2 linked regions of the Macaca mulatta genome follow. Each later gene encodes a partner of the first gene's protein in a complex. Links are inferred from orthologs where the notes say so. Each region holds a gene or a part of one and is shown on either strand. Other genes may lie near its edges.

Evidence for each region.
Region 2: the proteins of AURKA (region 1) and TPX2 are in contact, whole or in part, in a crystal structure (PDB 3HA6), measured with the Homo sapiens proteins. The link is inferred for Macaca mulatta from reciprocal best matches to the Homo sapiens genes AURKA and TPX2. Residues at the interface, in NP_001310232.1 of Homo sapiens: Lys125, Arg126, Gln127, Trp128, Asp132, Glu152, Gln154, Ser155, Phe157, Leu159, Lys166, Glu170, Gly173, Glu175, Leu178, Arg179, Val182, Glu183, Ile184, Ser186, His187, Leu188, Arg189, Tyr197, Gly198, Tyr199, His201, Val206, Tyr246, Ser249; in NP_036244.2 of Homo sapiens: Gln3, Lys5, Ser6, Ser7, Tyr8, Ser9, Tyr10, Asp11, Ala12, Pro13, Ser14, Asp15, Phe16, Ile17, Phe19, Ser20, Ile31, Asp32, Trp34, Phe35, Glu36, Lys38, Ala39.

What each region holds. Positions count from the first base shown.
Region 1 is NC_133415.1:109,157,914-109,165,283, reverse strand, and holds the start of AURKA (aurora kinase A), read left to right. Parts: upstream 1-3,220; 5' UTR 3,221-3,435; exon of another isoform or gene 3,436-3,811; intron 3,812-7,370. UniProt on the Homo sapiens protein: Mitotic serine/threonine kinase that contributes to the regulation of cell cycle progression.
Region 2 is NC_133415.1:84,562,494-84,570,029, forward strand, and holds the start of TPX2 (targeting protein for Xklp2), read left to right. Parts: upstream 1-2,544; 5' UTR 2,545-2,973; exon of another isoform or gene 2,974-3,247; intron 3,248-3,278; exon of another isoform or gene 3,279-3,394; intron 3,395-5,847; 5' UTR 5,848-5,954; intron 5,955-7,536. UniProt on the Homo sapiens protein: Spindle assembly factor required for normal assembly of mitotic spindles. Required for normal assembly of microtubules during apoptosis. Required for chromatin and/or kinetochore dependent microtubule nucleation.

The DNA of each region.
Region 1 (7,370 bases):
GAGAACAGGAAGACAGTTTCCCTGCCAGCTGCAAAAAGGGAAAACGGATGGTGAAGGGTAGAGGCTCTAGCAAATCACAGAAGGAACAGAGGACTCTTTGGTCAGACTTAATCTTGCAGGACTCAAATCCCATCGCTACCAGCTGCATTGTCTTTGGTCGCTGACCTCATTTCTCTTAAGCCTCAGGTTCTTCAGCTGTTAAGTTACTGGAAGTTAAACAAGGTGGTGCATATAGAGCCCTGAGCACAGTGCCTGGCATACAGAAATTATTCAGGTCATGTTAGCCAATATTTACGGTACAATCCCTCATCGACTTTTCTTCCCCCACCAAACTACCTACCTATGATTTTTGTTCTTTATTGCTATCCCAGAATCTTCCATTTCTTTTGTTAATTAAACATTGACTAGCACCTGCAACATGCAAGATAGCTGCTGTTTTGTCAAGGCCTAGACTGCTGGTTCCACTAGCTGGGCTGTATGTTTACTAATATCTTTTATGTTCATTCTCAAAACCTGTTTTAGGGCAACTGAGCTTGTGACTGTAATTCTATAATCTAATTCGACAGTAAATCAAAATATGAAGGAAAAAAAGCAACTGTACTATAAAAACTCAACAGAGTTAAATGCGTTAGAAAGGCTCGAAGGTGAGCTGCCCAATAAAATCCTGCCAATCAAGGTCAAAACAATAAAAATGAAAAACACAGTAAAAATCTGGAAGGACTGTGCATGCACTGATTTACAAGTGTCTAAGTTTTCCTTTAGTCTTAAGAGACAAAAAAAACTGTAAATGGTTTCTGGCTTATTCAAAAAAGAACTCCAACTGTTGAACATGATAATCTGCTTACTAAAAATCAATGCCTTTATGTATGTGTATGTTTGAACCAATATTAAAAGGCTACAGGTGTCTGGGGACAGCAATAAAGAATAAAAGCGACCTCAGAGCCTGATTTCTTTTTTCTTTTTTTTCTTTTTGAGATGGAGTCTCGTTCTGTCGCCCAGGCTGCAGGGCAGTGGCCCAGTCTCGGCTCACTGCAACCTCTGCCTCCCAGGTTCAAGCTATTCTCCTGCCTCAGCCTCCCAAGTAGCTGGGACTACAGGCACGTGCCACCACGCCTGGCTAATTTTCGTATTTTTAGTAGAGACGGGGTTTCACAATATTGGCCAGGCTGGTCTTGAACTCCTGACCTTGTGATCTGCCTGCCTCAGCCTCCCAAAGTGCTGGAATTATGGGCATGAGCCACTGCGCCTGGCCCAGAGTCTATTTCTTATACACTGTACGACACTGATGGTGTTAATAATAACCAACAACATTAAGCACTTCCTGCATGCCAGATACCGTCATGCTAAGTACTTTGTAAGCATCAGTTCACTGAATAAAATCATTCAATGTATTCAAGTATATGAAGTAGTACATGAACATAATAAGTCTATGCTTGAGTAGAAAATCCTGGGACACAATAAAGATGATGAAATGGGTTCAAGGAGGTCAGAACACCTACTCAAGGTAAAAAGTGGCTGAGTTACTTATCCAAGGTTAAAAGCACACCAGAATTGCCAACTCCAGAGCCCTGAGCTTAACCACTGAAGGAGTTCAGGAAATGCCAGCCCAAAGCAAGATGCTTTGGCGGGCTGATTACTTTGAACTGAGGGCACTTGGAGAACAGCAGGCGGGAAGAGGCTTTCCCTGTGCTTTCCTTACCTGCCTAAAGTCTGACCCTCCAAAAATACCTCAATTGTCCTTATTAACCAGGGAAGATTCACTTAGATCATAGGAACCAGGGAAGATTAACTCGGATCACGAGAGGAGATTAGAGGTTGACACCACCCAGAGGATCACCTATTCTGTCTGCATTAACAAACTTGATTCACCATACATTTCCTCCGTTCACCCTCCCATAACTTGTGTTACAGCTGCTGCTTACCATCCTCCCACCCGCCCCCAACCCTCTATTCATTCCTTTCAGTAGCTCAGGATGCCATGTAAGCCTTAATCATCTGACTTCAACTTCTTAGTCTCGTATTTTGTGGGACTCCTGTACATAATTAAATATCGTTTTTCTCCTATGGACAATGTTTAGTGACCCGAAAAAAATGGGAGATTCTTAAGTACCAACAAAGAATGAAAATCACAAGTGGGTAGTCTGGCAAAGAAAAGTTGATGAGAGATTCTACTGTTAATGTCGTGCTAATATGACTTGAATAATTTCCGTATGCCAGTTCAATGCTTTACATGCACATCCTGTTTATCCTGCAGTAATCTGTTAATTTGTCTTATGGTAATTTAACTCTTAGTCTTAATAAGGTACCTAGAAGGATGGAGGGAAGCCATTTTTGGCTCCCCTACACCACTATTCTATCCGGTCTCTTCACTTCTGAGCACATGTCGGGTGTACAAATATATATATACACACACACATTTGTGTGTATATATGTATACATGTATGTGTGTATATATATATATGTGTATATATATATTTTATGGTGGCCCAGTCCTAACTTCTCAACTCCCACAGAACGTTCACTCGCCAGGTAAACAGAAGCCTAATTATCCCCAATTTGCAGGTGAGCACACGGAGACACGAGGACAAGAACCCGATCCAGGACCGGTTACATCGCAGTTGGAAAGGCTAGAACACAGACGCCCCCTCACTATATGCGCCGCGACCATCTGGATGCAGAGGCGAACTAAGGACTGGGTGGGAATGGAAGCGAGGCCCTTTGAGGAAGAGGAGGGGGTGCAGGCCAAGCCGGGCAACTTAGGAAGCACAAAGTAGAGGCGCATGCCATCTTGCTAACTCTGGACTCTTCCGGTCTCGCCCCAGTTGTTTCTGTGGTTTTCGCTAAACGCCCCAGCCGACCGCACCAGCCACTCTCCCCGTGCCCCAGTACCAGCTGGTCCGGTTCTCTCGGTATCCCGCTCTCTCCTGGAAAAATGGAGGCGCGAATCCTGCCCAATCGACCGCTCCGAGCGCACATTCACTGCGCACGCTGAAAGGGCGCCAAGCCGACCGCTGCGCTATCGATCGGTCGCACTCTCGCTTGCTTTTCTCGCCATCTTACTTACTGGCACGTTCAAAAGGTTAGTTCACCCCCTCGGACTTTATCTCCAATGCGACAAGCTTGACGTCAAGGGGCTGCTGCCTCACCGATAAATGGCCGACCCCGGAGAGTACCCTGGGGCTGGCACTGCCACGGGTCTGGCTGGCCGTTGGCTCCGCCACTTCCGGGGTCTCAAGGAGCAAGTGCGCCTGCGCGCGGTGTGCGCCTTAAACGCGACTCAAGGCGTCGGGTTTGTTGTCAACCAATCACAAGGCAGCCTCGCTCGAGTGCAGGCCAATCGGCTTTCTGGCTAGAGGGTTTAACTCCTATTTAAAAAGAAGAACCTTTGAATTCTAACGGCTGAGCTCTTGGAAGACTCGGGTCTTTGGGTCGCAGGTGGGAGCCGACGGGTGGGTAGACCGTGGGGGATATCTCAGTGGCGACGAGGGCGGCGGGGACAAGGGGCGGCCGGCCGGAGTGGCGGAGCGTCAAGTCCCCTCTCGGTTCCTCCGTCCCTGGGTGTCCTTGGCGCTACCCTGTGCCCGCCCAGTGCCTTTGCATCCGCTCTTGGGCACCGAGGCGCCCTGTAAGACACTGCTTGTTACTTATTACAGCTAGAGGTAGAAGGGGTTTGTTGAGTGGTGTTGACACGCGCGGGAGGGGTGGGTGAGCGTCAGATTGGATTTTGTTCTCGGAGATCACCTGGGTAAGAAAAGCACAGAAGGTCGCTGCTGTGTTGGAGTTCACGTTCTAGTGGGTAGGGAGTCAGACGGTAAGCGTACAGAGAACTTGCAACTGGGGTGGGTGTTATAAGGGAAAAGCAGGAGTGCGGTTTAACGGGGGCCGCTTTAGACAGAATAGCCTAGGAAGGCCCTTGTCCTGGCTGGATGAGTGGGTGAATTGATGAATGAGAACCTCCTTGCAGAGGCCTTCCCGGTCCGTACTTCTCAGACCGTAGACCTTGAAGTAGTTATATCGGGATAACTTGGAGAGCCTTGTTAAAAATATAGCTCCACCGAGAGCCCGGAAAATCAGAATCTCTGAGGGATAGGACCCAGGTGTCTAGTTATTAGCAAACTCTCCAGATGATTCTTTGATTTCATTGAGAACTAGGGATGCAGACCGGTGCATGCAAATCGTCTGGGGATGTTAAAATGCAGAATCTGTTTTCCTAGACCTGGGGTTGGGCCTCAGAGTCTCCATTTCTAAGATCCCTCCGGCTGAGGTAGACGTAGCCACTGTCGTTAACTCGTAATGTCTCTTCCTCTTCCTTAACCTTCCTTGTCCCTTGAATTAAACGTTTTTCAGCAACCTACTCAATTCGTCCTTCCCTTCATCTCTGCAGACATGCACAGGTCTGAAGGAGGAAGGAACAAACCCGTATAAACCTCCTGTGCTATTAGCCTAACAGCTTTTCTATTCACAGTGGTAGGATTTCTGGTGTGAACTGAATAGATCCTGTGAAAGTCATCTGGTTGCAGATTAGAGTCACCTGAAGGGCAGTCTTATTGGCGTTGTCTCCAGAATTCTGGATTAGAATCTTATTCCATTCTGCTTGTTACTCAATTTCCCTAGAAAGAAAAGTAGAATAAATTGGAGCAAATGCCTGTAGCTTCTGTCAGAAGAATGTTAAATAAATGTTGTTAGGCCTCTGTGATCTCATTAGACTGCTACTTGTAATTGTAAGGGAAGTAAAGCATTAGAGCATGTGTGAAATTAAATGATTACACAAGTGGGCATTTCCTTGCTGCTGTTTATTAACTTTTTAACTTACCCACTGTTTTTTCATAAGGGCTCCCGCCTGTAGTCTGGGCCTAGCTTCATCATGGAGTTATTTGCTTAATTGTAAAATGGCAATTTTAATTTTTTTTTGAGACAGGGTCTCACTCCGTTGCCCAGGCTGGAGTGTGGGGACATTTGATAAGAAACTTCAGTGAAGGCTGCGCATGGTGGCTCATGCCTGTAATCCCAGCATTTTGGGAGTCCGAGACGGGTGGATCACCTGAGGTGGGGAGTTCCAGACCAGCCCAACCAACATGGAGAAACCCCGTCTCTACTAAAAATACAAAATTAGCTGGGCGTGGTGGCATATGCCCGTAATCCCAGCTACTCCGGAGGCTGAGGCAGGAGAATTGCTTGAACCCGGGAGGTGGAGGTTGTGGGTGAGCCGAGATTGTGCCACTGCACTCCAGCCTGGGCAACAAGAGCAAAACTCCATCTCAAAAAAAAGAGAAACCTCTGTGAAATGAAAGACTGAACTACACACCTGGGGGAAAAGCCTAATAAAGGGAGCAAGAAGTGCAAATGCCTATGGCAGGGGACTTGTTTGAGGAAAGAAAGAAGCCTTGTGTGGCTGGTGCACAATCGAGAAGAAGAGATGAAGTCAGAGAGGCAGTTAGGGTCCATGTTCTGTGAGACTTCAATAGGCCTGTCTATGCAGGTTAGGAGTTTGCATTGTTTTGATTGAGTTGGGGAGCCATGGGGGTCTTCTGAACCAAGGACCAACACATCTGACTTGTTAATGAGATTGTTGGCCTCAGTGTTGAGAATGGACCATAACGGGGTAAGGTTGGAAGTCGGGAGGCCATTGGGAGGCCGTTGCAAAAAATTCAAAGGAGAATTACGGTTTGACCAGGTGGTAGTAGTAGAGGTTCTGAGCAGTGATCTTGAAGGCAGAGCCTACAGAATATGCTCGTGGATTAGATGAGGGGTTTGAGAGAGAGAGAAACCTCTTAAAGGGTTATTATGCCAAGGCTTTTGGCCTGAGCAACTGGCAGGATGGATTTGCCATCAACTGGGATGAGGATATCTAGAGACTAGATTTGGGGAGGTGAGAGTGTGGAGGGATTAGGACTTCTGTTTGGGACATGTTAAAATGGAGATGCCTCTCAGATAATCAGGTGCAGATGTTGCGTAGAAAGTAGAAAATGTAGATCAGGAGTTCAGAGGAGAGGTCTGGGCTGAAGAATGAATATTTGGGAGTCCTCAGCCTGTAGATGGTATTGAAAGCAAAGAGACTGGATGTACTTGGCTAGGGAGTAATTGGAGATGGAGAAGTCGTTCTAGGCGTGAGCTCAGGGCACACCCATGAACAGGGAGGTGAGAAGTGGAGAAGGGAAGCGGTTCGGTTTTGGATATGTTAGGATTGAGGTGCCTGGCAGACATTTCTGGGAGATCCTGGACAAATCCTTGGATATCCAAGTCTGACAGTCCAAGGTGAGATTGGGGCAGAAGATGCACTTTGAGAGGTCCTCATGAAGGCATTTAGAGCTGAGGCACTCGGTGATATGGATTCCTGTGAAGGTGTAGATGGAGAAGTGGAGGGTCCAGGGACTCATTCTTTAGTCACCCCAGACCCTTGATCGGGCAACAATGAGAGTGACCCAGCAAGGAGGGAAAGATAGGATGACTAGGTGGTAGATAAACCTGGAAGTGAAGTGAAGAAAAAGGTGTAAGATGTGATCAACCTTGTCGGATTCTGCTGAGGATGCAAGTACGAGGAAGGTGGAATTGACCCTTGGGTTTGGCAACAGTAGGTGTCAGCCATGAGCCTGATGATGTGGTGGAGGCAAAAAAGCTGGGTGGGGATGGGCTCAGGGGAGGGGAGAGGAGGAGTAGAAGTGGCAAGTGTGGATGGTTCTTCTGGAGCTTTGCTGTTGGAGAGGAGGGGGTCATGGTTAGCAAAGATAATACAATAAAGAGGACTATTTTATTCTATTTTTTTTTTTTTTTGAGAAAAAGTCTCACTCTTGTCCCCCAGGCTGGAGTGCAATGGCATGATCTCAGCTCACTGCAACCTCCGCCTCCTGGGTTCAAGCGATTCTCCTGCCTCAGCCTCCCAAATAGCTGGGATTACAGGCGCCCGCCACCACACCCAGCTAATTTTTGTATTTTTAGCAGAGACGGGGTTTCACCATGTTGGCCAGGCTGGTCTCGAACTCCTGACCTCAGGTGATCCGCCCGCCTCGGCTTCCAAAAGTGCTGGGATTACAGGCGTGAGTCACCATGCCCGGCCTAAAGAGGACTTTTTTAAGGTAGCAGGTATGCCAGCAGGCTGCACAGGGATGGAAGTGATCCGTTAGAAGAGAGATGATGGAGCCGCAAGACCATCAGGAGTGAAGACTCCGTGTGAGAGAGGATGGGATGCAGTGCCCAAGGGGAGGTTGGCCTTGCGGGGAAAGCACATGTCTGGCCCTCCCTCATTAGCTTCATTTGGACAAAAAGTGTAAAATCCTGTGTGTTGTGGAGGCCTTTTGATCAGGGAACTGTAACGCTGCCTATCAAGCAGCAGCACTTTAAGCAGGTGGCTTTGTTCAAATTAAAGGTTCTTC
Region 2 (7,536 bases), about 25 Mb from region 1:
CTGCCTCAGCCTTCCAAGTAGCTGGGATTACAGGCACCCGCCACCATGCCTGGCTAATTTTTTGTATTTTTAGTAGAGACAGGTTTTCACTATGTTGTCCAGGCTGGTCTCAAACTCCTGACCTCAAATCATCCACCTGCCTTGGCATCCCAAAGTGCTGGGATTACAGGTGTGAGCCACTGCATCAGGCAACCACCTCATTTTAACTGTGGAAAATTTCAAACTCATACAAGAGTATATGTATGTATTTATGTATCATGAACCCATCACCAGGTTCAACAATTATCATTTTGTAGCTAATCTTGTTTCATCTAAATCCCCACCTACTTATCTTCACTGCCTACTCCCAATTATTTGGAAGCAGGTGCCAGAGTAATTTCATCCCTACCATATCTCTATGTATCTCTACAACACAAGGACTCTTTTTTTTATTTTATTTATTTATTTTTTTTGAGACGGAGTCTCGCTGTGTCTCCCAGGCTGGAGTGCAGTGGCGTGATCTCGGCTCACTGCAAGCTCCGCCTCCCGGGTTCACGCCATTCTCCCGCCTCAGCCTCCCAAGTAGCTGAGACTACAGGCGCCCGCCACCACGCCCGGCTAGTTTTTTGTATTTTTAGTAGAGACGGGGTTTCACCATGTTAGCCAGGATAGTCTTGATCTCCTGACCTCGTGATCCACCCGCCTCGGCCTCCCAAAGTGCTGGGATTACAGGCTTGAGCCACCGCGCCAGGCCAGGACTCTTAAAAAAGAAAAGAAAAGGTGTGGTGGCTCATGCCTGTAGTCCCAGCATTTGGGAGGGTGAGGCAGGGGGATCACCCGAGGTCAAGAGTTCAAGACCAGCCTGGCCAACATGGTGAAACCCCGTCTCTACCAAAAAAATATTAAAAAATTAGCCAGGTGTGGTAGCGTGTGCCTGTAATCCTAGCTACTTGGGAGGTTGAGGCAGGAGAAACCGGGAGGCTGAGCTTAGAGTGAGCCGAGATCGAACCGTTGCACTCCAGCCTGGGCTACAATAATGAAACTCCGTCTCAAAAAACCAAACAAAACAAAACAAGACAAAACAACAACAACGAAAAGAAAACAAAACCAAACTCTTGGCAGTTTATGTTTTGAATAAACTAAATCATTTGTCCTGTGGTTTTCCTGTCTGGATTTTGCTGATTGCCCCCCGTGCGTGTTGAACCATACTTTAAAAATTACTATAATTTCATGTTAATATGTACAAAATCTGGTATGTCAATTTCCCCAATCTTTTTCAAAATTCAAGATGCTGGCCGGGCGCGGTGGCTCAAGCCTGTAATCCCAGCACTTTGGGAGGCCGAGACGGGCGGATCACGAGGTTGGGAGATCGAGACCATCCTGGCTAACACGGTGAAACCCCGTCTCTACTAAAAAAATACAAAAAACTAGCCGGGCGAGGTGGCGGGCGCCTGTAGTCCCAGCTACTCGGGAGGCTGAGGCAGGAGAATGGCGTGAACCCGGGAGGCGGAGCTTGCAGTGAGCTGAGATCCGGCCACTGCACTCCAGCCTGGGCGACAGAGCGAGACTCCGTCTAAAAAAAAAAAAAAAAAAAAAAAAAATTCAAGATGCCACTACTTGTGCTTTTGCTCTTCCATAGGAACTTTAGAATTAACTTGGCAAATTCCAGAACAGAACCCACTGGGACTTTCATTGGAATTGCCTCGACCTTTTTTTTTTTGTTTTGTTTTGAGAAGAGTCTTGCTCTGTCGCCCAGGCTGGGGTGCAGTGGTGCAATCTTGGCTCACTGCAACCTCCACCTCCCGGGTTCAAGTGATTCTCCTGCCTCAGCCTCCCAAGTAGCTGTGATTACAGGCCCGCGCCAGCACGCCCAGCTAATTTTTGTATTTTTAGTAGAGATGGGGGTTTCAACATTTTGGCCAGGCTGGTCTTGAACTCGTCGCCTCAAATGATCTGCGTATCTCGGCCTCCCAAAGTGCTGGGATTACATGCGTGAGCCACCGCGCCCAGCCTAGAGCTAAAGTTTTGAATCTTTAGCTTTTGCTGGTATTATGAAGGGGGTTGTTTTGTTGTGCTTGTTGCTTCTATTTTCTAATTGATTAAAAAAAATTAAGATGGTGGGGGTGGTCTCGTTATGATATCTACGCTGTTCTGGAACTCTTGGTCTCATAGATCCTTCTGCTTTAGCCTCCTGAGTAGCTGGGATTACAGGTGAGGGCCACGAAGCCTGGCCTCTAATTAATTATCGGTGATGTATAAAAAGAACAGACCTTCTTCATTCGAATCCCGTCTTCTCCATCTATTATATGATTTTGGACATGTTTGTTCAACTTCTCCGAGCCTTTGTTTTCTTTTTACCACATGGGGATCATAAAGCCGGAATGCAGTTGGGAATAAAACCGGATAAAGCACCCAACGAACAAGATCAGGGCAGGGCCTGGGTAAAAGGTTTGAGAAGACACTTGCACGGTTGGGAAGGACGCTACGGGCGAGTCTATGTTGCTTGCAGGAGACTCCACGTTAAGACGAGTGAACTCCTCTGAACCTTCAAGGGATAATGCACAACCATAACAAGAATAATTTTTAAAAATAAAGTTTTATTCCCTGAAAGCCTGGGGATGTCCAGGATGCGCGCCATTCTGTGATCTAAGTCGACTTTCCACCTCTTCAGTTGGTACCACCTTTCCCAAAGAGTTTGGAGCAGAGCACTCCGGTCTTCGTAGTAATTTACTCCTAAGGGCTGGTCCAGTGGACTCACGCAGGCGCAGGAGACTACACTTCCCGGGAACTCCCGGCCTCGTTGTTCGCTGGTACCGCCTTCTGACTTCCGGTATTGCTGCTCTCTGTAGGGCCAATCGGGAGCCTGGAATTGCTTTCCTGGAGCTCTGATTGGTGCATTCGACTAGGCTGCCTGGGTTCAAAATTTCAACGATACTGAATGAGTCCCGCGGCGGGTTGGCTGGCGCTTCGTTGTCAGAACTGAGGAGAGGCTAGGTGAGCCGCGGGAAGAAAAGAGGGAGCAGCTGGGGCGCGGGTGTCCCTCCTCCCGGAGTTTGGAATGGCTGAAGTTCACCTTCCAGCTCCTAGCGCAGTTCGCGCGGGTAGGCCTGGCTTCTGAGGCGGTTGCGGTGCTCGGTCGCCGCCTAGGCGGGGCAGGGTGCGAGCGGGGGCTTCGGGCCACCCTTCTCTTGGCGACAGGATTTTGCTCTGAAGTCCGTCCGGGAAACTGGGGGGAAAAGGAGTTGCGGGAGGCTATCGTCTAATAAAGGTAACGATAATTATTATTACCATGCTAACAGGTTATAAACATTGACTGAACTAAGTACCCTGCGTGCCCGTTCTCATCTAATTTCCTGGCCAAGCCAATGTAGTTGGTGCTATTCTTGGTCCCTCTTGACGGAAACGGAGGAAGGAGGTAGGAGGAGGAAACTGTGGGCCAGAATCTAGATAAATTTCGAGAAATGGGTGATACAGTAGCCCTGCCCTCAGGAAGTGTGGCGTTTGATGGAGGAAAACAGAGGTAGTCACAAATAAGGACATTTCAAAACTGTTATCTAAAACAGAAAGATGATTAGATGGTGTGAGAACATAATTGAGGGAGAGTTTAAGTCCATTTGGAGTTGTCTTCTATTTGGGATTTAAAATTCATTATATGTTATCCATATTTGTCCAGCTCTCTCTTTTTGTATGGAATCACCAGATATTATTCCCTTTCTCATTTCCTTTCTCAACATTTATAGATTGGAGGGGGGAAGGAAAACCAAACCAGGTTATAATATTGTAGAATTGGTTTACCCCCTATTTTCTTGACATATAACGTCTTGTTTTCCACATATAATTTTCTGGTAGTTCAGTAACATGGACTTCCCCAAATCAGGCCTACTTAGGATAGAAAAGGATTTTTGACTCCTAGATTTTGCTTTAAGACCAGCTCTTGGTTTACTCCCTGGTTCACCCTTACCTTTTCTTGACATCCTATGGCCTCTCTTTGAATTTCTCTCACTCATCAAATGTTGTCAAAAATAGGACTATAAGGATGTTCTTGTATTGTGGCCTTAGTGTATTACACCACCCCCATGTCAGACTTAAGTCCGTCCCCCTGGTTGGATGGATGAGTCAGTTCAGTATTAAGCTGGCATTCTTGGATCAAAATTATGTGGCTCTCAGCTAACTCGGCCATTTAGTTGTCCTTTGAGGGTACTGCGTGCTCAGATTGGCATGAGATATGGGTATACAGATGTGTGATGAACTCAAAGGTTTTTTGGTGTGTTTGGGGACAAAAACATGGTTTGAAATTGGCAAGTGAGAATCAGAACAAGACAGGACACCATCTGAGTGCTCTACTGTTTTGTATTCTAAGTGTCCGGACAATTTAGAGGTGAGGGAGATCAAGAGCCAGTTTGTGTTTCTGTGCTTCACAAAGCCACCCTTGCCTAATTCTTGATAAGCAAGAGTTTGGTTAGACAGGGACTGAAACAATCCTGGTACATAGGAATCACCCACTAAATACCTGTTGAATTGACTAGGCAGGAAGGCACTATCTGAATTGACTACAAAATTGCGGGTATGAAAAACTGGATTGTACTCAACTAGGTTGGTAATTTTGTTTAGACTTTCAAATTAGCTGAATAGGGTTTATCTGGCTAACCTTATGCTTAAATCTGTGTATTTCAACCTTGATAAAATTAATTTATTGCAGTTAAGATTGTCCAGGATTATGTGAGAGAGTCCTTCATTTCTTGTTTAGGTACCAGATTTTCAGAGTTCGTCTACATCTGTTGGTTAATTTTCCTTCAGCTTTTTCTGGGTCTCTTCCCTAATTCTTTTTTTTTTTTTTTTTTTTTTTTTGAGACGGAGTCTCGCTGTGTGACCCAGGCTGGAGTGCAGTGGCACGATCTCGGCTCACTGCAAGCTCCGCCTCCCGGGTTTACGCCATTCTCCTGCCTCAGCCTCCCGAGTAGCTGGGACTACAGGCGCCCGCCACCACGCCCGGCTAGTTTTTTGTATTTTTTAGTAGAGACGGGGTTTCACCATGTTAGCCAGGATGGTCTCGATCTCCTGACTTCGTGATCCACCCGCCTCGGCCTCCCAAAGTACTGGGATTACAGGCTTGAGCCACCGCGCCCGGCCTATCTTCCCTAATTCTCTTTGAATTCCTGGGAGAAAGAGGAGGGAGAGTTAAATGCCCTTTGACATACTTAATTTTCTTTGCTATGAGTAAAGTTAGGAAGCAAAATTGACTATATATAGAGTTTTTTTTTTGAGATTTCAGCTCACTGCAACTTCTGCCTCCCCTGTTTAAGCAATTTTCCTACCTCAGCCTCTCGAATAGTTGGGATTATAGGGACCTGTCACCACACCTGGCTAATTTTTGTGTTTTGTTTTTTGTTTTTTTTTTTGAGATGGTGTCTCACTCTGTTGCCTAGGCTGGAGTGCGATGGTGTGGTCTTGGTTCACTGCAACCACTGTCTCCCAGGTTCAAGCAATTCTCCTGCCTCAGCCTCTCAAGTAGCTGGAACTACAGGCACGTGCCACCACACCCGGCTAATTTTTTTGTATGTTTAGTAGAGACGGGGTTTCACTGTGTTAGCCAGGATGGTCTTGATCTCCTGCCTGCCTTGGCCTCCCAAAGTGCTAGGATTACAGGCGTGAGCCACCGCGCCCAGCCTAATTTTTGTATTTTTAGTAGAGATGGGGTTTCACCATGTTGGCCAGGCTGGTCTTGAACCCCTGACCTAAAGTGATCCACCTGACTTGGCCTTCCAAAGTGCTGGGATTATAGGTGTGAGCCACTGCTCCCGGCCTGTTAACCCTTTTTTTACTACAGAGAACTTGGAACCTGTTTCATTACTTTTCTACTTCTTCCAGGTTCTTGATACATATTTGCCAGACTTCAAGATTTAAGAAAAGGGGTGAAAGAGAAGATTGCAACTTTCAGTCAGGCCTGTAGGCCTGATAGACTGATTAAACCACAGGTAAGGCAGTGACCATAGGAAGAAGGAACATTAATATATCAACTTCATAAGTGTTTAAATGACTTTAATTTTATAAAGTAACACATATTTTGGAAGGAAATTTATTTATTACGAAAAGCAAAAAGAAAATAAAATCACCCACTATCCCACCTCTCAGATAAACCGTGGTTAGCATTTTGATAGATTTCTTTATAATTTTTTTCTGTGTCTGTATAGTCATCCCTTGATATCCATGGGGAATTGGTTCTAGGACCTTCCCAGGATATCAAAATTCTCATACGCGGCTGGGTATGGTGGCTCATGCCTGTAATCCCAACACTTTGGGAGGCTGAGGCGGGCGGATCACCTGAGGTCAAGAGTTTGAGACTGGTTGGCCACATGGCAAAATCCTATCTCTACTAAAAATACAAAAATTAGCTGGGTGTGGTGGTGCGCGCCTGTAATCTCACCTACTTGGGAGACTGAGGCAGGAGAATCCCCTGAACCTGGGAGGCAGAGGCTGCAGTGAGCCAAGATCTCGTCACTGCACCCCAGCCTGGGCAACAGAGCAAGACTCTTGTCTCAAAACAAACAAAACAAAATTGTCAGATGCTCAAGCCCTGGTACAAAATGATGTGTAGTATTTGCATATAGCTTATGTACATACTCCCATATACTTTAAATTATCTCTAGATTACTTATAATACCTAATACAATGTTAATACTATGTAAATAGTTGTTATACTGTATTGTTTAGGGAATAATGACAAGAAAAAATGTCTAGGCTGGGCACAGTGGCTCAGGCCTGTAATCCCACCACTTTGGGAGGCTTAAGTAGGAGGATTGCTTGAGGCCAGGAGTTTGAGACTAGTCTGGGCAACATGGTGGCATCCTGTCTCTACAAAAAAAAAAAACATAAAAAAATTTAGCTAGGGCCGGGCGCGGTGGCTCAAGCCTGTAGCCCCAGCACTTTGGGAGGCCGAGACGGGCGGATCACGAGGTCAGGAGGTCGAAACCATCCTGGCTAACATGGTGAAACCCCGTCTCTACTAAAAAATACAAAAAAATAGCCGGGCGAGGTGGCGGGCGCCTGTAGTCCCAGCTACTCCGGAGGCTGAGGCAGGAGAATGGCATAAACCCGGGAGGCGGAGCTTGCAGTGAGCTGAGATCCGGCCACTGCACTCCAGCCTGGGTGACAGAGCGAGACTCCGTCTCAAAAAAAAAAAAAAAAAAAAAAAATTTAGCTAGGCATGGTGGCACCTACTTGTAGTCCCAGCTACTTGGGGGGCCGAGGTGGAGGGTCACTTAAGCCAAGAAGTTTGAGGTTACAGTGAGCTGAGGGCGCCACCGCACTCCAGCCTGGGTGGCAGAACGAGACCCTGTCTCCAAAAAAAGTCTACATGTGCAGTACAGATGCAGTTTTTTTTTTTTTTTGAGACGGAGTTTCGCTCTTGTTGCCCAGGCTGGAGTGCAATGGCATGATCTTAGCTCACCACAACCTCCACCTCCCAGGTTCAAGCGACTCTCCAGTCTCAGCCTCCCAAGTAGCTGGGATTACAGGCATGTGCCACCACACCCAGCTAATTTTGTATTTTTAATAGAG